Linked DNA regions of Schizosaccharomyces pombe. Changing the gene in region 1 together with any one later gene gives a genetic interaction. Each region holds a gene or a part of one and is shown in the gene's direction. Other genes may lie near its edges. The genes, in order: pim1, alp7 and fin1.

Evidence for each region.
Region 2: of pim1 (region 1) and alp7, a mutation in one rescues a mutant of the other (synthetic rescue), as found in Schizosaccharomyces pombe (2 studies listed by BioGRID, with this or other methods).
Region 3: of pim1 (region 1) and fin1, changing one enhances a phenotype caused by changing the other (phenotypic enhancement), as found in Schizosaccharomyces pombe (2 studies listed by BioGRID, with this or other methods).

The regions. Positions count from the first base shown.
Region 1 is NC_003423.3:2,485,867-2,496,826, reverse strand, and holds pim1 (RCC1 family Ran GEF), read left to right. Parts: upstream 1-5,791; 5' UTR 5,792-5,856; exon of another isoform or gene 5,857-5,986; 5' UTR 5,987-5,998; coding exon 5,999-6,604; exon of another isoform or gene 6,605-6,779; coding exon 6,780-7,793; 3' UTR 7,794-7,808; downstream 7,809-10,960. Other genes in the region: SPOM_SPBC557.05 (arrestin, meiosis specific), read right to left, coding at 217-430, 474-1,046, 1,089-1,603; Ark1/Prk1 family protein kinase Ppk29, read right to left, coding at 2,050-4,434, 4,474-4,607, 4,680-4,779; SPOM_SPBC557.02C (uncharacterized protein), read left to right, coding at 7,891-8,502; Rho-type GTPase-activating protein Rga5, read right to left, coding at 8,935-10,020.
Region 2 is NC_003424.3:4,999,080-5,010,039, reverse strand, and holds alp7 (kinetochore-associated protein Alp7), read left to right. Parts: upstream 1-5,554; 5' UTR 5,555-5,844; coding exon 5,845-7,269; 3' UTR 7,270-7,640; downstream 7,641-10,960. Other genes in the region: pxr1 (PINX1 family ribosome biogenesis protein), read right to left, coding at 1-233; ribosome biogenesis protein Ytm1, read left to right, coding at 1,183-1,333, 1,696-2,867; serine/threonine protein kinase Ppk16, read right to left, coding at 3,069-4,919, 5,088-5,137, 5,205-5,298, 5,346-5,369; tbc13 (GTPase-activating protein), read left to right, coding at 8,064-9,107, 9,149-9,715, 9,768-10,016; rga9 (RhoGAP family GTPase-activator protein), read right to left, coding at 10,085-10,332, 10,368-10,766, 10,807-10,833, 10,886-10,960. UniProt on the Schizosaccharomyces pombe protein: Required for bipolar spindle formation and proper chromosome segregation. Has an indirect role in connecting the kinetochores and the plus end of pole to chromosome microtubules by targeting alp14 to the spindle pole body.
Region 3 is NC_003424.3:1,352,327-1,363,286, forward strand, and holds fin1 (NIMA-like serine/threonine protein kinase Fin1), read left to right. Parts: upstream 1-1,894; 5' UTR 1,895-2,033; coding exon 2,034-2,093; intron 2,094-2,361; coding exon 2,362-2,385; intron 2,386-2,431; coding exon 2,432-4,516; 3' UTR 4,517-4,858; downstream 4,859-10,960. Other genes in the region: nucleoporin Nup40, read right to left, coding at 31-910, 1,098-1,333; cyclin Pas1, read left to right, coding at 10,245-10,960. UniProt on the Schizosaccharomyces pombe protein: Promotes chromosome condensation and nuclear envelope dynamics during mitosis. Activity appears at metaphase-anaphase transition.

The DNA.
Region 1 (10,960 bases):
TTTCCCTTTATGTTCACGAAAAGTTATATTTAATTTATGTCCTTATGTTGCTCTATTTATGGAATATTGAGTGATATTAAATAACATTTTGTATCTCAATAAAGGTATTTCTTGAGATACTTTTCTGTACGCGGTAAGTTTAAATGGATGCTTCAAAAAAACTATGTAATGTTCAATCATTCATTTGCCTTTGGATTTATCAACTTCATTTCTGCTTCAGGAATATAAAAAATAACGAGTATTTCTCATACGCCTAGCCGCTGACAATGCGTCATATGATAAACTATTTCCTAATCGCACAGATATAGGAAGCCCATGTGGTGAGGCTTTATTCGTTAGTTTTTCTAGATTTAAAAATACATTCTCTTGCTCTAACGAAAGGGAATTGGCCGAAATAATTTTGAACGGTATTTCTACTCGATTAAGTGTCCTTGAAGTATTAGTATATATCTTAATTAAATTTTAATCCTTACCATAATTTATTCCCGACAGAAATTTTCAAGAAATGGTCAACTTCAAAATTTGAGCCGACGGTTATTGTTGCCTCTTTATCAGGTATTTGAATATGACATTCAGTTGTATACGTTTCTAGAGCAGCTATTCCATTCCAATTATAGCAGTTACTCTTTTTATTACATCTGATTGTTTCTTTTTGCAAACATTTGCATGTTTTGGAGACTTCTGAATTCTTTCGGCTTAAATTTAAATGGCTCATCATTTGCTGTGTCTTCCAACTTGGTGGATCGAAGCCAATAATACGTCTGTACAAACAAAGTTTTAAGGTTTTAATTGAGGATTTGCTATGGTTTTCGATTTTAATTTTCGAAACCACTGACTCACCGGCAAGCCAGTCTGTTCGGGGCAAACTCACAGTAATTCTTGTGGCCGATTTACGTTGACGGTCCTTTTTTAAGTCTGGTTGTTTACTTACGCACATAATGGAGGGAGAGTCTAAAAACGAGGATGGTGATATGCTGGGTAGTACATTTATTTCTTGGCATTCTCTCCGACTTCTCAATTTGTCTGCGCTTTGGTAAATTATATTGCTTAACTGTTAGCTTGCGTGTATCATTGTCACTTTTACTTACGCGTATGCAAAATACTGTACCTTTACCCTTGAATGGATTTGTCGGCCAGGTCCTACTTCGACGTGTTTAGGAAAATTGACTTGAAATGGAATGTCAACTGTTGAATGATTGGGAATACTGATTATCCGGTTTTTCCCCCTTTTTTTAGCATAATCTAAGAGTTCTTCTGGTACAATGTATTGCCCTTCCATGATGTGAGTTCCTAAACACAGGAAGACTGTTGACGAATGAAACTTGTGTTTACATATTCCAATTATAAAGACTTCGATACTGATCAGCTGAATTTCGTTTACTTTTGACTTATTAGTTAGTGTTAGCAGCCCGTCTATTCCTGCTTTTCGGTGGAAAATTGGTGCATCAAAATCCAAAGTAAGATTGACATCTTTAGTTTCCATTTGCGGGTTGGCAATTAAATCAAATATAATTTCTTTACCAGCATAACTAGTATTAATACATGTAATTACTGGTTCTTTACTAAATCGAAAGAAGCGCTTTCCTTTCTTCCACAAATCCATGTTATCTAGTTGGGTATTTGTTTGTTTACTTGTTCTGATTATTTAACCACGATTGGAATAACGAGCTTTGACAACATAAAACTCTGCGCTGAAAATAAATAATAACTTGTCAATAACTAAAGCTTTTACAATAATCCAAAAAATGGAATTTATATTGAAAAACTGATATTAGAATTTTGGCTACTATGTATCCGAGTTATGTATAGGGAACTCCAATTCCTGGAGAACTAGTGAACAACGATAGATACAGAGAATAACATGAGTAAAAATTCCAAAGACTTGAAGCACAGGCCGTGACATCAAGCGGTACATATCAAAAAATCATCCATCTAAAACTCTTCAAAGGCAACACCGAATTTGCATGAAGGATTTATATATATAATAAGGAAATAAATCATTGCAAAAAAATATAATTAGTTTAAAGTCGGTAAAGTCTGGTTGATAACTCAAATATTAACGTTCTTTTCTGCATTCGAATTGGGTTCCTCGTAATCAACAATTCCCGGATATTTTTGCTCAAATAACGTGTCGTTTAATTCCTCTGGAAAATTTGCAGGTCTATCACTTACGCTTCTGGAGGTTTCTGCACTTTGAATAGAAGCTACAGGCCTCAAATCGTTATTAAAAGACGTCTCTTGAATTTCTGTGTCTGTTAAATCTGGATTATGGAAACTTGAACTTGAGCGGTTAGCATAACTTCGTACACGCTCTCTTAATTCACTTTCACCTTCCAATCCTTCGTCAACATACTTGCTTGGAGAAAATTTAAAGTACGGATTTTTGTCATGAAAAGAAGGACGCTTCTTGTCAAGACTTGCCCGCTCACTATGTAAACTCACGGTTCTTTGTAAACCATTAAAAGTTCCAAAGTCGTCAACATCGGAGGCAATAGTGTTGGCAACAGAAGACGCGGTCGAAGTAGGATAAAGAATAGAGTTGGTTGAATCGGCAACAACGTCAGAAGCATTAATATCAGTACTAAGGTTTGACATATCTTGGGGTTCGATATTTGTCAAAGGATTGGCAGACTGTTGTGTGCGTTGAACGATATAGTCACCTCTAGTATTAGATGTTGTACGATAGAGCATAGTAGGACTGGAGGGGAGCCCCTCTTTAGATGTGTTTCTGGAAGTTTTGTTCGAATCTTTATGAGAAGGTGAATAATATTTGGAAAATGATTTGGCATGTCTAAGAGAATTATTAGAACCAAAATTAGTATTACTCAAATCATCAAGGTTAAAGGAGTGTTGCTCATAAGCCATAGAACGCGCATTGGGGCTCGAAGGTCCAGTAATTTTAACAGACGACCTAGAAGTGCTTGAAGGTCGTCTAGATACTGGACGATCAGGGAAATCAAAAGAAGACCTTACGCTACCAACCCCTTCCGAAAAATTTGTATCAAAGGCAGATATATCCTGAGTACCAGTGGTATGAGTACTATTTGCGGTTGAAGTACCAGCTGTCTGACGGAAACTAGCGAATGCATCATCAGCCAATTTTGCTATCTCTTGTTCCCTAGGGTTATGATGAGAACTAGTCGTAATATTAGTATGACTAGTAAGCTGTGACTCCAACTCATTTAGATCAGGATAACGCTGGTTAACAACTTCCTCAACGTCAACGTTATCGGCATCGAGTCCGGCGTTTGGTGAACCATTATCTTCTGTAACCTCGCTAGCAGAAAATTTTGAAGATGTTCCCGTGACTCCCTGAGATATTGGGAAGGGATTCTTACTTTGAGGTGTGTAGACTTTGCGACCACTAGCTCCTGAGCCAGTTACAGAACTTGATGAAACAACCTTCGGAGACGAAACACTCTGTCTGTTCACATCTTGAGTGTTGTTAAATGTTGCGGATTGGCTGTGGATAGAAGGATGTGCACTAGCTTGAGAAGTGCCAGAGAAAGTAGGTTGCAAAAATGGATTAGGGGAAACGGTTGGTACAGTCGGCACATTTGGTACGTTATAGATAGGAGCTGGCATAGGAGGAGGAGGGGGAGGTCTTGAGCCCTGAACCTGTGGAGTCGGCATGACTTGGTTTCCAGCAAACGGTGTTGTTGTTGTTTGTCGAAGCAAAGACATTATTTTCCGGTTATGCAAATCATAAAAAGACGACTCTCTTCCACTGTATATATCCCTAAAAGGTAAAGCCGTCCCTCTAAGACGACATATCTCACACATCAACTGAAAAATATTTGGACGAAGACAAGGATTCGGCTGAAGTAAAGCGATGATGACATTTTTAAGAGAATGTGAATAAGGAGGAAATGGGGGGAAGGAATATGAAGCTGTTAATATAGCGTTAGGACCTTGTGTTTCAAAAGGAGTTGTATAGTAACAGAGTTTGTATAACAAGACTCCTAAAGCCCACATGTCACTTTTCTCATCAATTCCTAAGCCTGAATACAAATTAATCATCTCAGGGGCACGATATTGGTAGGTAGTAAATGTGTTGATACTTTTTTCTAATGCTTGAATTTCGCTAGAGTTTTCAGCAGCATGCATTGGCTCAGTCACACTTCCAAAATCGCACAATTTAAAAGTATTAAAGCTTAGCAAAACATTTTCTACTTTCAGATCGCGATGAATGAGAGGAGGTCTCAGATAGTGTAAGGAAGCAACACCCTGTACAATATCTGAAATAATTTTTAAGACTTCATGCTCTGACAACCGAGTTTGTAACCTTTGATTCATAAAATCTATCAATCCACCCCCAGCGCAGTATTCCATCAAAAGCAGGATTTCAAATCCAGTGTTGACACCCGCTTTCTCGAGAGGAAATATGCAGGAGTCGATATACGAAACCACGTGGGGATTGGATTTGAGTAGTTCCTAATAAGTTAGACAAAAAAATCAATAACGTTAACATACCATCGTTTCGATTTCAGTTTTCACGAAACGCAGGGCATTCTCGTCTGGAGAATACATGCGTTTCAAAACAGCAGTTATCGGTGATCCATCAGTTTTGGAATTTGTTTGAACAAGATATACATGAGAAAAGCCGCCTAATGAAAAATGTTAGTAAAATAAATCTTTCATTGTAATACTCCTCGATCCATCCAACCCAAAAATTATACCTTCGGCTATGTACTTTTCGATAGTAACATTGTATTTTCCAATTACAAACTTGGATCCTGCTAGAAGCTTTTCGCCCGTGAGAAAGGATGCAACAGACATCCTAGAGAGGTTTTTTGTTCAATACTGGCTGAAGTCGCGAGGTTATTGTTTACACTCTCGCAATTCAATGGGACAGCATCCGAAGCCCTATCTACGTTAGTTGTAAATTTATTATAATAACTTACTCTTTGAAAAGGCTGTATTTACACAGTTTTGATCAAGATGAGCAAGGGATGCCAATTCTGCTGTTGGCAAGGTACTGAGCCAGTCACCAAACACCACAAGTCCCTTCTATAGGGTTAACCTTTGAGCCATTACCGATAGATAAAACCGCCCCCCACAAGACAACTTGCCGTATTTTGAAAATTTCAACTACAACTTTTAATAATTTGAGCTGATTAAGAAGAGAAATTAATTTTACAGTATACTCAAGTTCACAGGCAAACTTGTAGAATCAAGTTGAGTAACATCGTTACCCAAATTTATGACATGGCAAATTCACAGACATATAAATCCAGAAAAGAATAAAGAAAACAGAAACTGCTAACGACTATGTTCATTGTAACTAAATATTAAATCATGAGGGAAAAAAGTATATGGTCCTCATAAAAATAATTTATGAAGAGATTAAAATCGCGTTGCTTGAGTTCGTATTCTCGCATACGATCTTGCTGAACGATGGACACTCCGAGTCTTACTGTAACTTCTTATGACTAATGAGCTTTTTTTTTAAATTTGATCTTTGTTTAGCTATACATGAAACCGCTTTCTCAGATAAGAAGAGGTCTCAAATTTTCAACATTCGACGTGATTAAACGAATTTATATAAATCAAATGAAGTTAAAAAAAAAGAAAGGATTTCATAAAAATTCGTAGCTCACCTTACACACATTTGAACAAATACAAGCTGGGAACTTTTACTGAAGTCAATAACTTATTTTGCTAAACGAAGCTTATGTTGTAATTAACGAATGCTTAATTACAAGCTGCACATAACAACGATTCGCAGTATACTGAATAGTGAGAATCCGTATACAGAACGACTTGTTCGAGTTTTGAAAACAACGTCTCTGCGAAAACAAAAACGACATAAATCGTTGTTTTTTGTCTTTTGTAATATTTTAAACCCAAGCTATAGTAAGTGGTACCAAAAAGTAAATGTAATTCTTGGATTTGCGTCTGGTGATGGTTGCATGGAATACGCGATGACATCTTGTTCTTTTTTAAATTACAAATCGATTGTTAGTAGCAAAGCTAACCCTTCCAGCTAAAACTCATAATGACTTCTAATAGAAGTACTAGAAGCTCAACTAAAAGAGAGGAGGTCTCAAAAAATGGGGTTGAAAAAAGAGAATTAGATGAATCAGATGTGATGAAAAATGGCAAAAAGCCGGTTAAACGTGCAAAGGTCAGCTCTCTACCCAAACCCGTTCGTGTCCCAGGAAGCGCAAAGCGAATTAATAAGATACCTGAACTACCTACGGAACGATTGAACGTTTACGTCTTTGGAAGCGGTTCCATGAACGAGCTAGGTATGGGCGAAGAAGAAATGGATGTCGTTTATCGTCCTCGTTTGAATCCTATTTTATCTACAGATAAAGTAGGAGTAGTCGATTTGGCTGTTGGCGGCATGCATTCTGCAGCCCTTTCTCATGACGGTCGCGTATACACCTGGGGAGTTAATGATGACTATGCCCTTGGTCGTCTTACTAAGGATCAAAAGGATGAGAATGGAGACAAAGTTGACAATGATTTACTAGAGGGAACTCCTTCTAAGGTCGAAGGTGCTTTATCTCATCTACGCGTTACAAAAGTTATATGTAGCGACAATCTCACTGCAGCAATAACGGACAATGGCTGCTGCTTTACTTGGGGTACTTTCCGTGTAAGTAATTTGTTTTGGCCGTGAAAAATTATCATTTGATCTTTGATTCCAAATTCAGGTGCTGTTATCGTTGCAGTGTTGTTTATAGTCTATTGACTCATTGTATCATTTCCCTTCGCCCTTTTGGAACAAATGGCTTTATAAATTTATCATTTTTCGTTTGCTAACATACTAGTGTTCCGATGGTGTATTAGGGTATAGCGATTCTCAAAAACGTACAGCTGAACCGACGCAGATGCGACTTCCCGAAATTTGTCAATTAGCTACAGGGACGGACCATATTATTGCCTTGACTACCACAGGAAAAGTATATACATGGGGTAATGGTCAACAGTTTCAACTGGGTAGACGTATGTTAGAACGTCGTCGACTTCAAGGCTTGACTCCTCAACCGTTAGCTTTAAAAAATATTATTTCAGTTGGAGCAGGATCGTATCATTCTTTTGCGATTGACAACAAAGGACGCGTTTATGCTTGGGGCTTAAATATAACCAGACAATGTGGAATAGAGGTAGAAGATGAAGAAGAAGGCGCCGTTATTACAAAGCCTACACTCGTTGATGCTTTAGAAGGATATAATGTTAAGTCTATTACAGGTGGTGAACATCATACCCTAGCCTTACTTGAAGATGGGAGAGTGTTAGCCTGGGGTCGAGATGATCGTCATCAATTAGGAATTCCGGATAATGCACTTCCAGAAACAGTAGTTAAAGATGAAAAGGGAAACAATTACTACTTGTCAACCCCTACTATAATCCCAGGACTTACTAATGTTATACAGGTCGTGTGTGGTACCCATCACAACTTGGCTGTTACCTCAGATGGTAAGGTTTATTCATGGGGATCTGCTGAAAACTACGAGGTTGGTCAAGGTGATAATGATGAAGATGTAGCTGTTCCTACATTAGTTCGTTCCAAGGCAATCAAGGAAGTGGCGATCCGTGTAGCGGGTGCAGGTGGTCAATTTTCCATCATTGCTGGTATTCCCAACGCTTCCGAAGAGCCAGTTGCAAATGGCATAAAAAGCGAACCCGAAAATGAAAAAAAATTAAAAACCGAAGAAACTTCCAAAACGGATGACTCTCCCGTTACTGATGCAAAGCCCGATGTCACCTCTAACGGCGAACCATCTACCGCTACATCTGAATCTAAGGATTCTGTTCTCGAACCCAGCTCCACCACTGCTTAGTACTTAATTTCTCAATTTCTTTTAACTATTTTTGGGCTAGATAAATTATTTTGAATATCAATGTGTTTGATGCATACAAAATTCATGAGTTTTCCAAATGGATAAAAAAATCGCAGATTTGCTTCAAGAGCTTCAAAGCTCCTCCAACGTAACGAGTAATCAGCTTGAAAATGTAGACAAATCATCCATCCCTCTATCGAAGGCTCGGAAACCCTCTGATTTTGAGTTGAACAATTCTATAGAGGACGCAGAAAAAATTAAAACCTATCCCGCTGCCTTGAGGTACATCTTTGCCCTAAATTCCCGCCATCCCGAAAAGTTACAAAAATTAAGAAAGATGAAGGCTATGCAGGAACGTCAAGAGCGCAACTGGTCTCTGGAACGGCAGCGGCTAGTTCAACATTTTGAGTCGAAAACTAAGCTTCAAGAAATACTGAAACCGCTTTCCTCCGACCCTAAATTGAAACAACCGTCCAATTGTCTTAATGACCAGACCAACAATGATTCCGCTCAAACTTTAGATGACAATAGGGCTTTACAAGAATTTGATGAACAAGTGGTACAATTGACAAACAGGATGTACAAAGAACAGCTTGCAATCCTTGCAGACCTGAAGATACCATTGTTTTTGTCAGTGAATAATGATGAAGAGTTATCTGAAGATCAGAAGCGCCTCTTACAATTGTTACAGGATCTCCTTGGAGCCTAATAAAGTATAGATTGATAAATCCTTTCTGGTTACAATGTCGTTGTTGTTTTCATAAAAGTTTCTTTGTACAGATATATGGACACCAAATTAATAAAAATTTAAAATTACGAAAGTAGCTGAAAGCTGTCAGATAAATTTACTATGTAGATAAATATATTGATCTACCAAAACAAAAAACAATTACAAAAAACAATAACGAATTGGATAATTTGTTCTTACTATGGTTAAGTAGAACTTCTAAAATGAAAATGGCTGAATACAAAGAAAAAAACATAAAACGACAGTAGCGGTATCCAGCCTAAATGCAAATCCCAATAAAACTAAAAGAGCGGACGGTAACAACTAAGTATATATGTACAAAAAGATTCTTCGCCATACAACCAAGGACAAAGACAATTAAACTAGATAAACAGAGAAAAACAATTAAAAGTATTACATACGATTTTCCCTCCGGCGATCAAGTGTATGGAAAAGCTTCATAGATGAGCTTCTAGACAATGAATACGAACGAGATTTGATTCTTGGGGGTGAACCAGGATCCACCTCGGAGCTTTTCATGTTTGAAAAATTTGAACTCGGACTATTGGAATAAGTGGCACTAGAATGACGACTAAAAGAGCGCCAACGCTTAATGGATCCATTTCTTGGATTAAAAGAATTAATCCTAATGGATGTCGAGGCTATAGGAGTAGGTGCAGCAGATTGCGTAATTAAAGTAGAAGAAGTATTTGGAGAAGTAGGCGCAGCTACCAGAGGAGGTAGTGAAGACAAAGGAATGGTTTTGATAAAGCTTCCTTGATGATTGATAAGGAACAAAAGAGCCGTTTGCGATATTTGATAATCTTTTGAGTAAACCTCGTGATCAGGATGAGATAGAATTCCAGGTTGGAAAATAGCAGCCAAATTATCAGCAGTCATCAGGTTCTTCGACGAGTTCATCGCAAAAACGGAAAGTAAGTCCAGTAAATAAAGTAAAAGCTGGCGATTTGGAATCGGTAATTCATCAATGCGTCGACGATACATTTCCACTCGCTCATTGTCTGTAAGATTGGGAATTGTCATGGGTTCACGAAACCTTTCATAATACTCCAAAGGAATCACATGCTCTGGCATTAGATTGATGAATCTCCGAAAAACATTGGCAGCATCATGAACTGTGTATCCTTCCCAATCAAAACTTCGGCCATAATCCGGGCCTGTACTGAAAGCTTTTTGGAGAATTTGGATTCGTTTGGAAGAACCATTAACGCGAAAAATTCCCTTTACTTGGGTAGCATTTTGTTTAAGAAAAAACCCGCACTTAGCAACGACAGCGGGAATGTAGCCATAAAATACTTTCTCACCGTCTCGGCGTGTCAGAAAGATAGCGACCTTCGATACTTCCAAAGCCCTTGTAAGGCTCAGACCAAACAATTTATTGTCATCTGACTTTTTAACCCGCAATTGCTTCCACCAGCTAGCGAATGATGACTTTTTCCCCATATCGTCAATCTGTAGGACTCCTACGACAACAGTCATGAACAATGGCTATTGTAATAAAAATTGAAAAACTTAACAAATGAAAACAATAAAAAAAAGAATTCAATGAGGAAAATGAGATAACAGACAAAAGATTTAAACCCAAATACAATGAAAGAATTGTAGATGTGTAAAAAAAAAGTAACCGATAAATTGACACTCTTTAAAATTGAATAACAATTCTGTTCAACTCAAATAACACTGTTCTCCACTAGATGGGTAAACTTAACTTAATAAATTGCGCTTTTAGAATTATTTGTTGTATTGTGTACAAAGCAGGTTCACACTACGGGGTTGGTAAGTACTAGTTAGCTATTGCAAGGTGGGTGTCGCAGTTTCACAGCCGGTACTTCCGAGGATGCTCGGGGAAGGCAAATCCTCTAATAAAATACCAAACTACTCGCTTGGTTACTAATTTAAAGGAATTTATAAGTCGTTCAAGCGAGCAACTCGTAAAGAGAGAGGCTTAGCATTGTCCTGTACGCATTAGCGTGCCAATATCGTATACTGACCTTTGGATGATGGAATGATTTTACCATACGATTCGATACATTCCTTAACACTTCGGAGAAAACAAACATTCTGCTTGCGATAGCGAAGATTTTGCAATTTTACGATCATGGCACATTAGCGTTAGTGTCAGTAGGAAGTGTGCTGATACCACCCATCCCAGATTAGCAGTGCAAAGTGGGCTCATTAAAGGACGAGTTGAAAGTCATGTTCCTAGGAAATATTTGAATTGCGAATTCTTACAAGTCAAACTGACGAGTTTTGACAATGAAGAATGCCCTCCCCTTGGTTGTTGGTATACTGTTTTTATTGATAAATAAAAGTACCATGTCTCTCTGTACATACAACTACGATTTTCGATATACAGGAATGTTTAGATAATTAATCTTTTAAGAGAAATTCTTTTAGTAATGCAAATTTCTATGATTGT
Region 2 (10,960 bases), on another chromosome or scaffold:
CCGCTCCATTCAAGATCGTTAGTTGCTTTGGCTCCAATTCCCAGTGTATCATCTTTTAGGCTGACCTTGATGTTATGAATGCGACCATGTTGCTTTTCACCCAAGCCATTACCATTCACCCAACCGTAGGAGGATAAAAGCTTAAATCCCAATCTATTTGTATCTTTTGCCCATTTAGAATTCCGAGGATCCACACCAATCTGTTGTTTCTTTTTTACACCAGCCAAACCCATGATGTCCTGTTAATCTTCAATAAAATTTTTTTTTTATCGACGATCAATATGTGAGAGGACAAAAAAGAATGAGAATAAATTATAAGAAGTAATCAATTGTAAGAAATAATTAAAATTGCGAACAGCGCAAAGTAATATACATAAAAATATGTAGCAGCCTGAGTCCTAAAATCCCACCAAATCCTAGAACCGATGAATTCTTTCCCAAAATAAAACCTTTTTCGAGGATAGAATCAATTGAGTCTCCTCTTCTTTTATAAAAATATAAACACACGATAAATCAACGATCTAAACAAAGTCTTCTCGCTAATTGAGAAACTCTCCAAAATTTCTCGAGTATTGCACTCAAATTGGTGAAAAAGGATAAATTGATAGATCTTTATTAAGTTTTAAAAAAGAAAAGTACTGGTTCTTGGAATTTCTTGAAAAGTGGTGGGCTCAAGAAGGGAATATATGCAGTTGGTAAACCGGCTATGTGTTAAAAGCGCTATAGATGCTTTCAAAGGCATAATTGAAATCTTCTTTCAAATAACGTGAAAGCATTCCAAAAAATTACAATGTTATAATGAGCTGTAAATAATACCGGTCAAATCATCATTTAAGTCGTTTTAAAAGAAGTATTTCAAAAGACGTTAAATCTTACAATTCGAGCATACTCTGGAAAAAAATAAGCTTTAAAAAAGTTTATCCTTTTACTTTTAAAGCATACTTTAAATCTTCTAATATTATTTTTGTTATTCTTAGATTTTGTTCAACTGTTACTTTTCTACTCAAAAAAAAAAGCTGAATTAGGACCGCTATCGATGAATACGAATTGGGTTGATTAAACTTGAAAATTCTTAAAAAACAGTCTCGTAACATCTTGATCAATTCAGCCAAAAGTCATTATCCTCATTTTTTTGGTACTGGAAATTTTGATCTTTTCGACACTCCTTCCACCAACAACAGAATGGATGCCCAAAGCGCTCCTTCAGGCCAAGTTCAAGTCCGTTTTACTACTAGAAATGAGGATTTAGCTGTTGGTGACACGCCGATTTTTGTTCCTACATCTTTAAAGCGGTACGGCTTATCTCAAATTGTAAATCATCTTCTAAAAACAGGTATGTTTTCAGTTAACACATACTGGGTCAAAGCAGGAGAAAAGTCGCATAATTCAACCAACTTGAAGAAAATTTGAAGCAATAGAATAGCTGGTCTCATGCAAGGCCCAATTACTATAAAACTGTGTAGAAGCTGAAATTTGTTGGCGAGAATCAAATGGGGGCTTCTCGAATCTAAGAGTTACTCTAGTGTTCTTTTTCACGCCTTTCTTAAAATTTTGTAAAATTCTTGAAGATGCATTACTAAAAGCCCTTTTTTTATTTTTTTGTCTCTTTTACCTTTCATCCTCGTTTTGCTTCATTGCTATACAATTTTGCGATTTTTTAGTTAATTTAATTTATTTCCTTACTAACTTTACTAGAAAAGCCAACACCCTTTGATTTTTTGGTTCAGGGTCAGCTGTTAAAAACTACTCTCGATGAGTACATAGTTCAAAACGGATTGTCTACGGAGTCGATTCTTGATATTGAATATATCCAATCTACATTACCACCTGCATATTTAGCTTCTTTCTCTCATGACGATTGGATTTCTGGTATTCAACTAACCTCAGATACCATTCTTACTTCTTCATACGATGGGATAGCTCGTGTTTGGGATAAAAGTGGTGAAATAAAATTTCAATCAACTGGATGTGGATCATCTTTAAAAAGTGCATCCTGGCATATACCTAATCAAAGTTTTCTCACTGCTTCACTTGATCAAAAAATTTTTCATTGGGTGATCGAAGAGCCAGAATCAATGTTGGATGCTGAAAAGAAAAGCTCCGGTATCCTTCAAACTCTTTTCGTAGGGCACAAGGATATAGTTGAGCGCGTACGATCCTTAGAATCTTCAAGCGTTTTTATTTCTGCTTCTGCGGATAATACTGTCGGAATTTGGGATTTTGAAAGGTCTCCTGAGACTACCCTCGAGTCCTTTTCCTCGTCTATATCTAAAAAGAGACGTCGCAAAAATGCAGAATTCACACCTCAAGCTGGGGCTCGCTCTCCGCTGATCCTTTGTGAGGGGCATACTGGACCGGTGATGGATATCGTCTTTTCTGATGATCCAAGTGTTGCATATTCCGTAGGCCAAGATCACACAATTAAGACTTGGGATCTCATTACTGGGCAAAATGTTGATTCCAAGATAACCAAAGCTCCTCTTTTATGCGTGGAAAAACTTACTGACCTACACTTAGTCATTTGTGGTTCCTCTGCGCGACACATTGTTGTTCACGACCCTCGAGCGGGAAGCGACAAAATTGTGAGTCATACTTTATCCGGCCACAAGAATTTAGTTTCCGGATTATCGGCAAGCCCAGAAAATCCCTATATGTTTGCATCCGTCTCTCACGATAACACTTGTCGTGTTTGGGATGTCCGTGCTACATCCGGCAGTATTTACACAATTTCTAGAGCAGAAAAAACAGGCTCTCAGTGGGATAAACTTTTCGCTGTTGATTGGAATAAATCCATTGGTATTGTTACGGGAGGTACTGACAAACAACTTCAAATCAATCAATCCTCATCCTTTGGAAAAAGCGAATGAAAAAAGATGTAGCATAAAAAAAATTGACAGATTATGATTTAGTGTGGTACAAGCGGGATAAGTTAAGGAACAAGGTCATTACTACTAGAGATTAAAAGTTTGATTAAATTATTTAAGAGAACACTTTATTAAAGCAAAATAAGTTAATAATTCAAATTATACACACCACGTAGCTTAGTAATCGTGTAATAAACTTAAGCTTCAGAGCAAGTCTGTGAAATGTTTTGAAGAGTCTGAAAAACTGGTTTCTTCCGGCTCCTCTTCCTCTTTGACTGAGCTTTGATTAAACATCAGAGAGGAAGATGATTGCGGGTTTTTTCTACCAGAACCAACTGTAAAAATTGCAGTAGCATTTATACGAGTGTTAAATGGCTCTCCGGAAGGAAAATGGAAACTTTTGTGCAATCGTTCAAAAGGAGAATGAAAAGGTGTTTGCCTTTGAACGGTCGAACTGGAAGGTTTAGATGAAATAATAGAAATTAAAGAATTTGAAGATGCAGAAGAGACGTTTGAATAGGATCTAGTACGGGATGAATTCCTCGAAGAAGCAACGGAAGAACGCCCAGACAAGCTGCGTATGGGAGTTCGTGATCGTCGAGTCGGCTGGGGAGATATGACAGTATTTTGCAGAGGAGAAGGTGGAATATCAATATTAATTGAGAGGTTCGAACTTTTAGAAGGGCTATTTTGAGAGTTCGAGGGGAAGGTAAAGTCTTTATTACCGTCGAGGTTTACCGTTTTTAAAAGAGGAGGAGTGAATGGTGTGTTTTGCTCACCTGTATCAACGTGCGTTGTTTGAGGAAGATTTGAGTGTCTTCTTCCAAAACTGTTAATCGAAGGAAACACGGTAAGGTTCTCAACTGAATTGTCTAAAGACTCAGATAAATTATCGGAATCAAAATTTTCTTGAGTTAAATAGTTTTCAGCCGAAGGACTAGGTGTTCTTGGTCTAATTGCTGATGAGCTTAACGTATCAGCAGTATGCTTTTGTTTAGGATCGAATAACCAACTACGAAATGTAGAAAGCAAAGAATTACTTGAATCTGACGATGTATGCCGACTTTTTAAAGAATCCTGATTGTTGGACATAACAGAAACTTGAGCGGTTTTTAATGATGGAGTTGCTGGAGCTATGTGTACAGCCGAAGATGAACCTTTATGTAAATGAAACAAACCTTTCTTTTTTTTGTTTTCCTTACGCATTTCTTTTTCTAGTAATAAAAGCCACCATCCATAGAACATGTCACAGCGCTGTTGTGAGATGCTGGCATTAAGTTGATCCATGTCAACACCAACAAATTCAAGCCTTTTACGAACTTTTTCCTCTGCTTTCGAGGAAGGCCTTGGGTCTCGAATAGAAGATGAATGATATCCATTTTCCTTGAAATAGGGGTGAGAGATGATTTGATCGATAGAGGGTCGAAGTCGGTAATCCTTGCAAAGGAGGGATTTCAACAAGCTTGAAGAGTTTTTGGAGAGTGTTTCAGGATATTGAGGACATTCATTGATAATTTTTTGCTCAGTTAAAGATACATCGTCCTCGTCGAACGGGAGCCTTCCTATTAAGAGAGCGTACATAATTATACCCAGAGACCATATATCAACGCATTCACCAATATATTTATGGCCCTGTACTAGCTCCGGAGCACAATAAGCAACTGTACCACAACGTGTGTTCATAAATGTTCTACGGGAACAATCAGAATCTCTAGAAAACCCAAAGTCTCCAAGCTTAACATTGTAGGCTTTATCTAGAAAAATATTTTCGAGTTTAAGGTCACGGTGAACACAGCCTTGTCTATGTAAATACTGAATAGCACAGCATAGCTGCCACATGATACGGCAAGTGGTCTTTTCATCCAGCCTTTTTTCTCTCGCTACCCAGTCATACAATTCACCATTTGGACAATACTCCATGGCAAGATAAATTCGGTCTTCGGTGCATACTACTTCATAAAGCCTCGTGATGTTTGGATGAAGAAGACGCCGATGATGATGAATTTCTCGAGCAAGGATAATCGCTTGTTTCCTGCAAGATGATTTCAGGACAACCTTTAATAAAAATGTTAGCAAGGTACAATCAATTTATTGATGAATAAAACGTTTATCATTCTCATAATGTAATCAACCGACTTTGGAACGGTCAATATTCGCAATTTACGAGCCGTTTATTCTTCTTTTTATAACTTAGAGACATAGTAATCTTTGAATAACCCATACCTTTGTATTTGTCAGTAAATGAGCTGCCAAATAAACTTTTCCAAAGCTGCCTACAACCCATGCTTGTTAGATAGCCGTCCAGTATTGAGCGTTCACAATAACACAAAAGTATCGTACCTTCACCGACAACACTCTCAATGCGATATGTACCGACATCAGAGATACGAGGATTGCAAATTGTTGCAATTAGGTCATTGTATGAGGCCGATATCTGCCATTCATTAGATAATCACGATTTCCCTCTTTTCATATACATACGTTTGCCTTTTCATTTTTCTTCATACTAAAATTTGGCACACATAATATCAAAGGTTGACTTGCAAATTGTTTAGTGTTTACAGTAGGATACTTTGGTGTTATTACAAAGGCTTCGGAGAACAAGCTACCGAAAATTCACCGAGAGCTCGGTGAACTCTTCCCACTCTCTCCTTACTCAGTGTAAACCAGTATGTATGTGCCTTTTATTTACACCACCATTGTACGCCTAGTGTTGAATCAAGACGAAGAATTGAGGGCAATAAGGGGTTATTTATTGGGCATTGTATGACTCAAGTTTGTTATTGAACCATTGTTCTACGTAGGCGGACATCTGACCAGTTTTCAAAAAGTAAAAATAAAAGTTAGCTACTGATCGTTAACTTTGAAACGATAATACCAGCTGTAAAATATTTGAAAAAGGATTTTCTTGTGTATTTATATTTCATATATCTGTTAGTTCTTTATATCGTTTGACGATTTTAAAAAGTCATAACCGAAAATGAGTGATATCGTTTCGAGCTCTACAGATTACAGTAGGAGGTCTCCCTCCTCATCTAGTATTGGGACAAATGAAACTGATCATACGGGTTTTCATGAAAAAAGGCAAGGTGCCTCTTCAGAATCATTGATTCCTCCAGCTCAACGAAGTTCAGAGGAATCCATGCCTGCCCCTAAATTATTCCCTAAGTTAACTTCTAAACCCAATCCACAGCTGAATTTAAAGGATACTCTTAATAAGCGAGTAAGCGATCGACTACAAGCCTTAGAGTTGAATAAATCTTTTGATTTTTCAGGAACCCCTAGACCGATGCATCCCATATCCCATCCTTTGTCACAGCATAAAACGCCAGAATTTAAGCATAGAAAAAGAAATGTAGAATCTATTTTGACGCCGAAGAATCCTTCTTTATTTTCATCGTCCAATGCGGCCTCCCAACGAGGCTCTTTAAATACCGCTCCATCTAATTTTGCATACAGTCATTCATCATCTTTGCAAACATCAGCTAGTTCTAGGCCCCCAGTGCTTTCAAACGGAAGCTTCCCACGTCAAACTAATACGGCGCCGTTGAACCCACCAGTGCATTTGAAAGACAACATTCGCAACTCTGCTACACCATCAACTTCACAGGCCGATATACCTACTCAATACCCAATTAATTCCACTCAAAAGCAGCAAGCGAAATACGAAGCTGAAATAGAGGGCTACAAAGCCAAACTTGCTGGCACTTATCATGAAATTTCCGTACTCCAAAATACAATCGTCAATGTTTCGGGACAATTGATTGCCGTTAATGACCAACTTCAGCAACTTAGATCTGGAAAAGCATCGACTAGTCCCTCCACAAAGGATACCAACATGAGACTTGTTGAAGGGCATAATGAAGAGACATTAGCTCTTCAGAGAGGTAAATATACTCAAGAGGAAGTTGACAAGTTAATTCAAGAACGCATGGAAAAAGTTGCTGAAGATTTACATGCTCAGTACTCAGCCAAGCACACTCAGAAAATTAATGCTTTCAAAGCCAATTATGCTCGAAAATACGAGGCAACTATACAGGAGCTTCAAAATCAAATCGGTACTGCTCCTAATGCTCCAAAAATATCCAACAGTAACTGGGAGGAAGAAAGGCGAGCATTGAAAGCAGACAATCAGACTCTCCAAAAACAGCTGGAGAAAGCCATTCAAGAGCGCCAAGATATGTCAGATTTTTTGAACAATTTTAAAGCTGATATGGCGAAGAGTGATAAGTTACTAATGCAACAACAATCACAACAGACAGGTGATTTGGAAACACTTCGTTTACAACTGCAAGCGCTTCAAGAAGAGCTCCGGGTCGAAAGGGAGGAACGACAACAGTTGATACAAATGAGCGAGGACTTGGTAATTGCAATGGATCAACTGAATTTGGAGCAAAAATCATGATCTGCGCTTTCATTTTTGATAAAAACAATCTCCATAATTTTTTTTTTTTTTTTGATAGAGTATTGCTAATGTATTGATGCCGTTTCCTTTATCCAAACCACTTCTGTATTCTCATGATTAATTTAGTTTCATATTGATGACCCCAGTTTCATGAATACAACCCGAATTCTTTTGATTTCCATTAATTAAGCCTTCTTTTATGGTTATACATTATCTACCAATTTTCGTATATTTATACATCATAACAGTTCGATATACAACCTAATATAAATTGCATATCCACTCTTTCTTCTTTTATTTGTATTATAGATAGAATCAAAACTGGAGCCAATCTCAAGGCTAATTTCTCACATACATACATTAGAAAACGGTGCATTTATTTAATAAATATCCAATTATTATTAATTGCTCGTTCTAGGTGCTGTTTAAACCAAATATTTCTTTCCTGGTCTGTATGTTGCACCTACATCAATCTTACCTATACTGTACATCTACTAAGGACGTTCATTACTCTGTACTTTCCTACAGTATTTGATTAGGGAAGTATTGTTAAGAAGGAAATTAGTATAAAAAATAAGTCAGAAAATTTAGTCGGTTCTTAAACTTGCATTCAATTTTAGTAGCTAACTTAGTTCCATCATCCACGTGTGAAACAGGCTACTGAACACACCAATTGCGCTCTCCTTTTCTTCATATATTTAATTTTCAACAGTAATATTTTATATATGATAATATAACTAAATTGGATATAGTCAAACTACATAATATCTTATTTGAATCGCTTCTAGTTTATTATGGACTATAAGCAACGCATTGAAAAATTTAAAGACATTTTAAATTCGGAAGAGCCAATTTCTCTCCCTGGTTTATGCTCGCTTTGTATTCAAGGAATTCCTGATGAATATTCACTTAGGGCAAAAGCTTGGATGTTGATGCTTGAGTTCCTTCCTACCGATAGATCAAACTGGCAATCAGTTCTAGAAAAACATCGAAAAACTTATACATCTTTCGTTCAAGAGCTTCTTATTGATCCTTGGAGGAAACTAACTCTACACGAGGAATCAGGCGAAAACAGTGACCATCCTTTAAATACTAGTGATGATTCAAAATGGAAGGAATATTTCGATGACAATCAAATACTTGAACAAATTGATAAAGATATTCGTCGGACTCTCCCCGATTTATCGTTCTTTCAAGGAAAATCTGAGATCAACAAGAAACCTTCAGTCAACAATGTCAGTGAGAACATTAGTGTAAACACAGAAGACGATAAAGTTGAAGAAGTTGGACAGAAACTCAACTATACCAAAATAACTTCAATTGATCAAAGCCAAGAAACACCGGTCCATTTATCAACGATTGACTTTTCCAAATTTCAAGAAGAATGTCATCTTGTGCTACAAGGTCGAATTTATCGTCTTGAAAATGAATCGACTAGTTCATCTACAACAGCTCTCAGTACTCCTCGACAAAGCATGGATTCAAAAAGAACTATAAATGCTGAAGCAATAGCTGGAGAAAACAAGTTAGGCTTACATCGAGAAGCGGCTGAAAGGATTTTATTTATTTATGCGAAACTCAATCCGGGCATTGGATATGTACAAGGCATGAACGAGATTCTAGCTCCTTTGTATTATGTGTTAGCCACGGATCCTACTTATGAAAATTATTATTTATGTGAATGCGATGCATTTTTTTTATTTACTCAAATGATGGTTCAAGTTCGTGATTTGTATGAAAAAACTCTGGATCATGATTCGGATCATGGCATTCACTTTCTTATGTCTAAATTTACTGAACGTTTAAAAAAATATGATTATGAATTATGGGAGAATTTAGTACGTATTAATATTATATATCATTACTGACCAACCATTAGGAGGAAAAACAAATCCATCCAACGTACTATTCTTTTCGTTGGTTTACATGTTTATTGTCTCAGGAGTTTCCTTTGCCGGATGTAATACGATTATGGGACTCTATTATTGCAGATCAAATGAAAGCAAGATTATTTGGAAAAAACGATGATGGTTTCAACGGTGCTTATGACTTTTTAATGGATTTTTGTTGTTCCATATTAATTGAACTAAGAGAAAGTATTTTAGAAAGAAACTTTGCAGATTCAATTAAGCTGTTACAAGCTCATTTTAATGTTGATATGCCTAAATTGCTTAATCTTACATTTGAGTTGCAACATTTAAGGAAAACATCCAAAAATGATGAAGATATGTCTTATGTTCGGAAAAATAGCTACAATACTAATGCTTTGGCCAACTCTTTAAAAAATCGAGTATTGTCGACATATAACACTGTGAAGGCAAACGTCCCTCAAAGTAGTAGTTCTTATACTGATAATAACAAGCAGAAAGAACCATTGGAAGAAAAAAGAAGCTTTTTCCCTAGTTTTAGAAGCTCTCTAGATGGGGTATCTCCTACACAAGGCAGGGTAAGTAAACTTCTAGTTTTAATCCATCACGTGGTATTAACTCAGTTTTTAGAAGAGTGGAGAGGAAAATATAAGAACAATTTTTGCCAAGCCAACAGCCCATATTGGGGAAAATGGATGGTCAAATTTAAAAGTCAAAGGAAGCAGCATATTTCAAAGATTCGGAAACTTCGTGGGTGATACTATGCGCTACATTACTGAAGAGGAGGAATCCAGTGAGGAAGAGGATCTTACTACTTCAAGAAGAAAAATTGGTATCACCTCTAAACGAAAGGTGTCCGTTAAACGGAATGTGATTTAGATTGCTATAAATGACATATCGTAGTTTTAATGGACAATGTAAAGTAGGTTGAAAAAGAATTATAAGTTTTAAAATGGTCTAAATCTTCGTGTTGGTGATGGATTTTTGCAAGGCGAGGATGATCGTGGTAGTTTCAATTTCTGAGGAGACGTTGTTATTGGAGTCAGGGCCCTTTCAATCTCCACAGGAGGTGTCGAAGGCCTTTCAAGATCTGCGAAAAGATTCTCAAATTCATTAATTAAATCAATAACCAGTAAAGTAGGATGTGTGTCTTCAACTGGTATAATATTCAAATCATCAGGAGGACGGAGTACACCTAGAGGTTAGACAAATATTTGTAAAATGACATACATGGCGAAATTATTTTAGCAAGATGTCGAATTTGACCATCTTTCATGCGAATAGAGATTGCATAGGCAGATAAATGGCGAATTATTTCTTCCAATATATGTAATGGTGTGGAGTGCAGATGGAGAAGACACTTTTTAATTGAATACAGGCGGTGATCGAGGTCTTCAAAGTCTGTATAAGTAGTGTAGATAGCTTTGAAATAATCATAGAAACTTGATCGTATCAACGAATCAGGAAATTCTAAAAGGCATAACCTTAAAGAACAAGTAATTGAAGAAAGTGTATATTTTTCCACACAAGCATTTAAAACAGATTCAACGTTATCTGTCTTTCGTAAAACGCTTTTAAGGTCAAAAGCATCTTTAAGTGGAACTTCGGTAGTCCAAACACAACTTAAAACTAGCAAAAATTAGTATTTTTCAAGTGAATACTTTCTTACCTTCTTCGTCACGTTCATAAGAATAGGCTGATTATATTAGTTAAATTTGAACAAATGATAAAGAAACTATTTAAAATACCGTCTAATAGATAAGCCAATATTTTAGGCACCAACGAAACAATAAGATTATCTTCGGTCAAGCTGGATTTTTGCA
Region 3 (10,960 bases), on another chromosome or scaffold:
CATAACATCCAAATTAATTGAGCAACAAGTTTAAAACCCAAACAATGTGTGCAATACGACTTGAACAATTTTTCCAAATAGAGAAGTTTGAAGCGAAGTGTTGTCAGAAGCAGTTTTAGATTTTTCTTCCTCATCTATTGGCTCAGTTGAACCAAAACCAAATAAATAATGAAATAACCAATTACGAGGTTGATGTTTCTGAGAAGATTTAAAAATATCATTTTTGTGTTGAACAATGACTTTTTTACCAAGACCAGATTGGGATTGGAAATGGGCATCAGCATGCACGGGAATAGACATTGAGGTTTCGGAGGAAGAGGCATCCGTCATTTCCAAGTCTTTATTGCTGTTTCTTAACGTTTTCGGAACATGCTCCTTCGCTTCTGCGGGGCTGTATATACATCCAACCATAAAAGAGTCATTTATCAACATTCCGTTAGACAAAACTGCTTTGGCAGCAGAAGAAGGCTCAGCATATGTTAATTGTAGCCAGTTACCAGATATGGGACCCTTGGAGGGAGTGAATCCGGCACTTGAAGCAGTTAATGAATTCTCGCTAATAATAGTTCCAAAACGAGAAAATTCAGCTATTACTTGATTTGTCAATTCTGGTGGGAAACCGAAAACGATAACGGAGGTATTTGAATCTTGAGGAGCGCCAGACATGGTAAAAGAAGGGTCGTATACCTTTTCAGAGACAGGAGAAAAAGGGGAAGAACTTTGTCCAACATTGAGAGCATTAATTTGCCTAGAGGAAGAAAAGTCATAAATGGATTGAGTAGGAGGAGCATCTTCAATTAAAGATCCGGTACCTAAACGATTTGTATGCAAAAACGGTTTCGGTGTACCAAAGCTGGGTCCGCCGAATTTTGAAGAAGGGGGACTCGAGAGAGATAAACGGAAGGAAGAGCTATTTAGAGAAAATTAGTAAAGGTTCTAAGAGTTTATGTCTAATATTTAAAAATTCATAGGGATTAGGCTGAAGCTCTAACAAATTTGGATATAGATAGATATTAGGTAAAAAAGCAATTATACTAAACAATTTTTTAATCCTCCGTCTTCAAATGTCCCTTAAACTCTTCAAAGAAATTACTTACGATGACTCATATGGTTCTGCTAAAGGCGAGCTAACCTCTGGGGCAAATCGACGCTGCTGACTTGATCCAAAGTGTGAAAGATGACTGGGAACAAATTTTTTTTCTTGTGGAATGTTAGAAACAGATGTTCGAAATCCACGATATTCTTTTTGAGGAGAGGGCGAACGTAAATCATCGACAGAAAGTGGCTTTAAGGTTGATCGATTCGTGATAGAACCACTTCCCCCAAAAGACATGTTTCCGGCAATATTACTAGAGTCTTGTGATAGACTGTTGTGTAACATATGTTTTGCAACGTATATAAATTAGCGGTAAGTTCATTTGAAGGAGATGGCTTGCATGGAATGAATCATGAAGCCTAGCGTAGATCACTAAAACCAATTAACGCAAAATAACAGTTTATTGTTAATGCTATTGATTTTTATAAAACATGCAGATAAATCTTTTGAAAGCCTCAAACTAATATTAATACGTTTAGCTATTCATTTTTTTAAAACTTGATTTAAAGGACTCTGTTAAATTCCAAGCTCATTTACAACAAACCTTATACAATCATGTCATAAAAGGCATTATAGATGATAAAAATTCTCCACAACTTTTTCTCATTGCTTATTGAATAGCGTATCTTTTTCTTACAGAAATTAAAATGCGACTGGATATATATTATAATCGTAGCAATAAGCACCTGAAGTAACAGTGTTACTCCTAACCATGGCAACATTGTTTACACTTGATGATTTAACGAGACACTGCAGAAGAACCAAACATAAACATCTTGGCTTGAAATTCATATACTTAGCACTCAATCACTCCAAGCAGTATTTTTTATATTATTAATTGATAGAAGAATTTTTCTTTTTCTTTAAAGGTCCTACCGAGAAATTTAGTTTTATTTTAAGCTTACCTGAATCTCATGGGCTACTTCTGTTCTGAAGTATGGAAAAATACAAGATTCTTGAGTGTATTGGACATGGGAGTTTTGGAAGGATTTATAAAGTAAGTTTTAATCTTATTTTCACTGAAATTGGTTATTGGATAGCAAAATTCTTTCTTGTTTTCAGTTTATTTGCGAGCAACTACTTGTGGTTGGCAAATGAATCTATAGCATTGAATCAATTGTTTTCTTAAGAAACAGGGAAACTATATTGATTTAAATGCTTTTCGCTATTGTTTGTACTCTATTCAAAACAGTTTTTCAAATTGAAACTTTGATCGATATTTTTTTTTGCAACTCCTTTTTTATGCATTATGCTAACTATTATAGGTTCAACGCTTAAAGGATGGTGCTGTAAGTTTGAAAGCAATTTATTTTTATAGTTATTAATACTTTTTAGCTTTTGGCTCAGAAGGAAATACACTTTGGTAACATTACTCGGCAGGAAAAGCAGTACATCGCAGATGAAGTGAATATTCTTCGTAATCTTAAGCATCCAAATATTGTTCAATACTGCGGAGAAGAATTGAATCGTTCTGCGCAGGTAATAAACCTTTATATGGAATATTGTGGTCATGGTGATTTAGCCAATCTTATTCAACGTTATAAAGAAGAGAAAAAGAGATTTACCGAGCAAGAGGTTCTCAAATTTTTTACGCAATTACTACTTGCTCTGTATCGCTGCCATTATGGAGAAAATGCGCCTGCTTGTGACTCACAGTGGCCAAGAGAAATTTTTCATCCTAAACAATCTGTATTGCATCGAGATATCAAACCTGCGAATATATTTCTTGATGAAAATAATTCAGTTAAGTTAGGAGACTTTGGTTTATCCAAATTGCTGGACAATACGCGTGTCTTCACACAGAGTTACGTGGGAACTCCATACTATATGTCTCCTGAAATAATTCGGAGCAGCCCTTACAGTGCGAAGTCTGATGTTTGGGCTCTTGGCTGTGTTATTTTTGAGATCTGCATGCTTACGCATCCCTTTGAAGGAAGGTCGTATTTGGAATTGCAACGTAATATTTGCCAGGGTAATCTCTCCTGTTGGGATCATCATTACAGCGACGATGTTTTCCTTCTAATCAGGCATTGCTTAGAAGTTAATTCAGACCTCAGACCTACTACTTACCAGCTACTTCGCTCTCCTATTTTATCCGATATTCGTAGTAAATTGGAATCCGAGAGAGTAGTCTTGGAACAAAGCGATTTGCTTCATAAAAAACATCAGATGCTTATTCAATTGGAAAATGATCTCCAATTTCGCGAGCAAAGGCTTTCTGCTCGGGAAAGTGAACTCGAAAACGTTATAGCTTCTCGCTTAGCCCAACGTGAAGAGATATTGCGACGTGAGTTGGAAAAGCAACTGCGTGACATGGATGCTCGTTATCAAAGACACATGCAAACCGTAGTAAACTCTATGCAGAAAATGCGTGTTACAAGTCCTGTGGATCATAATGAACAACCTGAAAGCAGTACCGCTGAGATGTTTGTAGATTGTACAATTGAAGCATCACAATCCCCCCTACTTCATATTCCTAAGTTAGGAATTAGCAAGCCCTTGCAAACGTTATCGTGTCCGGGTTTCACTCTAACTACACAACAACCGATATTGAAAAGACCTACTCTCCGTAAAGAATTATCAAGCAGAGCCTTACATACGACTGCAACATTAATGAAATACAGAGCTAATGCGTCATCTCTAAGGACTACACCTATTGATAAAGATGGCCAAATTACATCGTTACAGCAAAAAAACGGCACGTCGAATCAAGTGGCGGATTGCATGAACAAGTTGCTGCACACATCTTTGGACGGAAAGAAGCTAAGCCCTTCTGAATTGTGTAATAAATTTTCAGACGGTGAAGGTTTACCAAATCGAAAAGTTAGCAAACTTAGCGTAGAGAGCGATGAAACGGCAGTGAGTGCTTCAAGTGGTGAATCCGTCCCGACTGATTCAACGTTGACTGATACGAAGTCAAAGTCTGTTTTTGTCCACCCACCTTCTCCGCAGAGTCTTTATGTGGAGAAACTCGAAAAGTTGAATATTCGTTCGGACGAAGTGTCGAAACCTTCGAAAGCTTCAAAAACCTTACATGGCTATGCTTTACCATCACTAGCGTCACCTTATGATGTTCATGCTGAAGAGAAGATAGCAAGAGAAAATGAAATGGATGGCAATTTTAAGACGATGAAGATCAATCAACACCCCGACGAGTATGTGTTACGGACTCCGAAAAAGATACAACTGTTGGAAGGACAAAAGCGGTCGCCTGTAAAACAGCTGGGAAGACTTGGTTACAACAAGCTTCGACGATCAGCGATGGACAATGCAGGATTGGAACTACGAAAGGCGGCATCTACTTCGAACTATACTAGCTTACAGTCTCGAACACTACCCGGGTCTTGGAGAGATGATGAAGAAGAAATTCCAAGACCCTTTCTACGAAAAATGCTTGACGCCCGAATGATGAGGGCTTAAGTAAAGTTCCCTAAGGTGCATTTAATTGTACGAGAATTATATTAGCACAAATGCGTACTAAAAAAAAAATACAGCAAAAAATAAAGGCCCAAATGTAAATGAAATTATTGAAATGCGTACCGTGTTGAACTTCCCCTAATTATAAGGATTGGTTTTCTATTTATTCAAAGAAATGAAACACTGCTGGTCAGCGTTTATCACGAAGTTTATTACTAATAAAGGAATACAAACACGATATTTGCATCTACAAGTTCTCGAATATGAGATGCTAGTAAATTGAGCCTTTTAACAGTACACATTTAGATGATTAGGAAATTTTGAATAACAATATTTTTCCCCAAATTCGAATGAGCCGTATTGTAAATGGAATTTAATTTTATAATTTTTGAAATAATATTACACAGAAACAAAAATTCATGGATGTAGTAATTAGAGAGAACCAAAGAATTAGCTAAAACTACGAAACGCCAGCCTTGACAAGAGAGACTGTTTTTTTTTTGGTGTAAGGATAAGTTGCGTAGATAATAAATGGAGATATACGTAAATTCGTATATGAGTAGATATCTGGTATCTGGAGAGATGACTTATCAAAAAGAAGCCGATTATGGAAGCGGCATCAAAAATAGTCTAGAAAGAAAACAAAGTGGAAGTAATAGAAGTAAAAAAAATTTTTACAATTTCGGGTGGCAGAAAAAAGGATATTAATGGTATACGAAGTGACACAAATAGGATTCCAAATGAGGGATGAATCAATTAACCACTTGACGGATTGATAATAGCAATGATGAAAATAGCAGAATATAGTACAAACTAGTAATTGACAAACACATATAAATACTTAGTTGTAATGTAGAAGTATGAAAGTTAGTCATTCATTGTTATTTCATTTTATTTACATACTTTGACTTAAAAGAAGTGCCGACACATGTTACTACAATCTTAACCCATTCTTATCGCATAAAATGTTTGTTTTGTTTAAATTTCTTTGTTTTTGTTTTTTATTTTTAGAGCTATCGAAAGTATCAAATTTTCTTTATGCTGCCAACTAAGGCCATTGGATATTAAAGTTCTTTCTTTTCTTTGAGAGATAAGTCAAATCACCAACTTGCAACCCCCATCTTTTTGTATTATCAACTCTCTCCCTATATCTCTTTACTCAGCACAATATTACTTTACACAAACCCTTCTCCATTCATCCTTAACTCTCTCTGATCCTTTAGAGTGGGATGAGAAGAAGCTTCGCTAGCTAAAACATATCCTATTATGTAATGGACTCATTATGATGTCTCGGTGAAGCAATATTTCCTTTTTCCACTGTATGTCAATACTTTACGTGGTATGTGATGATTATGCACCGCTATATGATATTTGTGCACTCACTTTTGTCATCCCAAGAACGCGTAATTTCCCTTATCGTAATGCATGCCATTTAACCTAATTTACCCAACATCTTCTTCAGCCTGTGTACTCTGTTACCACCTCTGCTTCGGCTGCATGCATAACCCCCACCAAGTACCTAGAACCCTCCACTACAACCGGGAAGTCTAATGGGTAGTGGTAAAGAGAGGTAGGTGATTAGGTTAAAAGGAGGTCTTTTAAGATAACAACGTGGTAATAACGCTGCTGACTCTATTTCGTAGTAGTTGTGACTTACTAAGTTTTAAGGCCAAAAACTGTCAAAACAGCAGTTGTCTTGTGGTCCGACAAAGCGGAGCAAGAAAGACGGGAAGGGAGGAATTAAGTGCCTTGGACTCCTCGGTTCAAATCAAATAAAGTAGGCACTTTTAAAAAACGGGACCGTTCCATGTAGTGGTGGAAGAAGAGAGAGAACCTTGAAAAAAAGAAAAGATAAATAACATATAATATTTGTGTACAAAATGAAAAAGATGGATTAATTTCAAAGTTAAAGTGTAAGAGAAAAAAATAAAGAAAATTTGTTATTTATCTCAACCAAAAAAAAAAAAAAAAAAAGAAAAAGAAAAAAAAAGTATTAAAGGATTCCGTCAGGTTTGCACTTGTTGGAAAGCTAAAAAATGTTTACAGATCACCGGATTTGGGCTAATTGCGTGGAATCCGTGAGTGCTGCCAAAGAGTAGCAGATGGGATGAGATGAGATGTGATGCGAATGTGAATGTGAATGTGAAAAATTGTAAGCCAAATGCTGTTTCTCACGATAAAAACTAAAGAAAAGCATACATTGAAAATTAGAAAAGATAAAACAAGAAAAACAGATTTGGTGCTTATGCGCTGGTCGGTAAAACAGTTTTCCTTGGACTGATAACAAGAGGGATGGATAAATAAACACGCTCGCTGATAACTTGTAAAAAATAATCAAAATAAGAGTAAATAAAAATGATAAAATAAAAAACAACGATAACAAGGGACGAGTGGGTGAAAGGAAATTTTATGTTTGCGTTTTCGTTGAACCAGCGCAGTACAGAAATACAGAAAGAATTGGGAAGTACAATAACAGCTGGGATGTGGGATGTGGGATTTAATGGTAGGCAGGATAGGGTAAGCAATGCTGGGACAAAGAGAAAGAGGTGAGGGGGGTGAAAAAGTTTTGTGAAAGAAAGGATTGTTTATGCTACGGTTGGAGAAGAGAGGCGAGGGGAAGTGAGGATGGCTTGGATGTAGTAAGGATAATAGGAAATTAGAAATAAAAAAAAAAAAAAATTTGGATATGATACATAAATGGTAAAAAATAAATAATAAATTAATAATCATAAATTAAAGAAAGAAAAAAAAAAGTAAAGAAAGCAACGGTGAAAGTAGTTGAGGAAACTCAAAGAAAACAAAATAAACCATAAGAAGAGGAAAAGTGTTCAATCGTAATAAGAAAAAAAGAAATCAAAATATATTTAATGAAATTATAATAGCAATAAAATAAAGATTATACTAAATTCATGAATGATAATAAATAATAAACAGAAAAATTTAAAGGGCAAAAAAGTAAATTATAAAAATTAAATTAATTATAAGGTAAAATAATTTAAAAATTTTAAAGTACAATAATAAAAATTCGAAATATTTGTTTATTCAATAAACTAATGGAGAGATTTTCCATATTCAAAGTTTTGTTTCATTACTAATTTATAAAATGATACTTTTACTTTTGATTTATTTTATAAATTTTATTTTTTGCTTTTGATTTAATGTATTAATTTTATTTTACTTTTATTTTTTCACTCTTCAAATTCTTAACCATTCGCGTCTTTTCATCGCATCGCCCATCATATTTCCTGCCCAACAACTGTATTCATCAATAATATCGCTACTTTCATCCTACATCTTTGCCTTCGCAAGTTGCGCAAGCTTGCTCGCCATTTCGAGTGCTGATGGAATCAGCGATATCGATGGAGTTAGCGATGCCATCACAGAAATTGCAATTTTACACATCACAAAGTAAAACAATTAGCAATTCTTTCAAAATATCCATCCACTCCGCTTAAAGAAATCATTTCATCTTCATACCACCCCATTATCCCACCTTCTCTGATGGATAGTGGAATCCGCCTTGAATGTCTCTCTCTCTTACTATTACTTGCTTGGCATCTGAGCTGAGCCAATCCAATGTCGCTTAAAGCAGCCCAAAACTTGGGTAACATAGCGAAGAAACGCAAAGAAAAAAAAATTTCTTATGAGGAATCAGAATCTATCGGAGCCATGAATCATGGACACCACTTTCATATTTTTGGAACAAAGCAAGAAAACCTCTAGAATAGATTGGAAGCAAATTGATCCAACTACCACATGTCCTTCATATCCCCCCCCAAACATCATTCATCTATCCCTATGAGCCTCCTTCCTCAAATCCTTTTCCGCATTGCCTTCCCCTTCGCTATACCTAGACATTACAGAATTTATCCATCCCAATCTTCCGCCCCCTCCCAATTTTCAACTGCTAAACCTTGCTCTGATCCAATTTTTCCATTGTTGAGGCCTTTCTGGATGCAGCTTTCCAAACCTTTCAACGTCCCGGCTTGACTTAACTTCCACGTCTTATCATTCACAAAATCGGCAGTCCAAGACGCCAACTTTACCGACGCGTTTTACCCCATTGAAATTATGGATGTTTGCTTTACGCAGTGGTGTGAAATCACGGTGGACTAACGTTTGATGTGCAAAGGATCTCGTTGTTGCAGATAGTGTTACCTGCCACTCTCGGTAACAAATGTGGTTGACAAGCCGCGACTGATGTTTATCTCATATAATCATAGATCTGCCACAATCACCTTTTTTTTCCATTCTTTGCATATATAACATCAGTCATCTCTCCTAAGAAGAGCCGGTCGTCCCTCTGCTAAGCAACCATACAAAACATAACGTTCATCCTTTCTTTTTTGTTACATTCGTCTTCCTTTCTTCAGCCTAGATAGAATTGGTTTGGTGTTTGTGCTATTCTCAATTTTCCTCGTTTTGGATTGTGTTTTTCTTGTTTTGTTTGGGAATCATCATTCATCCATTAACATCTTCTTTACTTTTTTTTTTCATCGTTCATCGAATCCTACTTCCTCTTGACACATAATTAGTCTGCTGGTTTCTTTCTTCCTTCCTTTAAACATTTTGTGAAGAATCTCGTAACCTACCATTCGGTGCTGCTGTATTATAAATCTAATCTATTTGATTCGCTACGGATCTTTCTCACCTTAGACCTTTACTACCTGAAGGGTTCTTTTCTTCTTCTTTAATTCTTTGTCACGATATATTATAACTTTTCATTTTCTTTTTATTTTATTTTATTCTATTTGCTTGTCTGGGTTTAGGTGCTTTGTGTTCTCTTTCTTCTATTCTTTTTTTCATTGTTCCAACTACTCTGCTGACTGCAATATCACGCCTCTTTGAATTCTCGGGAAAAGGCTTATCTACTTTTCCTTTGTTTCATTCGTCTGCTGTCGCCCTGTAGCTTTAACGTTTTCTAACTCCGTCGCTGGTTTCGTCGATTAACTTTGGGTTTCGCATACGGTTTCGTGTAATTTCAAACATTTATTTATTATTTATTTATCTATCTGTCGGTCTGTTTTCTTTGCTTATTTTCCGCATTCATCTTAGCTTATATTTCAATCGTTGAATCCCATCCCTTGCTTCATTCGTTTTTCTCTTCTGCCAACAAATTCTTCTAGAGATTGCATCTTTTATCGTCGTTAAGGAGATTGGTTAAGTAGTTTCCCTCTCATTTTTTCAATCTCTCCTTTCTAGCTTATTTTGGGTTTTTACACAGTTCAAGTTTTCCTTTTATCTGCCTGGTCCCCAAAATCTCGGTTTTGCTTTATTTTCTTTCTTCAAATTCGACTTTGTGCGCTTGAAGATTCGATTTCAAGCAATCATTATTATTTCTTACACTCTTTCTTTGGATGACTATTTTCGCCAACACATCTATCTCTTCATTTTTGCAACTTTTTAGGCTTACTAAGCTTCTTTTTCTTGTATAATAATATTAACTGATTTTGGGTACGTGTCTTCAACATGGCATACCTTTAGAGATTTCTGTTTTTTTCCAGTTAGGAGCACTGTTTAGTCAATCTACTCGTTCTCCTCATTGTGTTCGTCTTCCAATTTTTGTCATCCATTTTTACTTTTCTACTAAATTTTCGTCGAAAGCTTTCATTGTTAGCTTTTTTCCCTTTCATAAACTCGTATTTTCTTCTCTTTGAGAAAAAGCTTGCTAAAAGTTTTCATTTTTCTCCAACAGCTGCTTAAAATTTCATCTTAGATATTTCTCTACACGATGTCGAAAGTTAACATGCGAGCTTTGCTCGAGTCCTTTAGTACCGTGATTCTTTCTATCTACCCCTTGGCTAAAAGTACAAATCAACAATCACATTCGCACTCCCTTTCACTTACTCAGTTTTTGTATGAAACGATTCGCAGAAGTCGTGTCGATTACACTACGTTGCTTCTTGCTTTATATTACTTCATCCGTTTTCGTGATGCTGCTTCTTCTAAGCCTACTAACTACATTCCTCTGTTATGTGGGCGTCGTCTTTTCTTAGTCTGCTTGATGGCCGCTACAAAATTTTTACAGGATCGTAGTTTTAGCAATCGTGCTTGGTCTCGCCTATCAGGACTTCCAGTTGACAAATTACTTGTTTTGGAATATATGTTTTACCAATGCATCGATTATCGTCTTGTCGTTCCTAAACATATTTTTGCTAGATGGTCTCTTTTAGTTGGTGAATGTTGTGCTCACGCGACTGCACGTTATGATTCCACCGATCCTAATGTTGCCTCATTTGGCAGCGTCGCACAATATTGGGTCTCTTTGTTTTCTAATGTTCAATCTTCTCTAGATGATCTTTTTTCCATTGCCTGTTTAACGAAGATAGCACATCGCAGAATGAATGCTAATGCTGCTTTGAAGAATCAGGCTACGAGGAAGCCCTCCTCTTCTCCTCAAACAACTCAAGACTCATCACCTATTCTTACGATGGCACCTTCTACTCC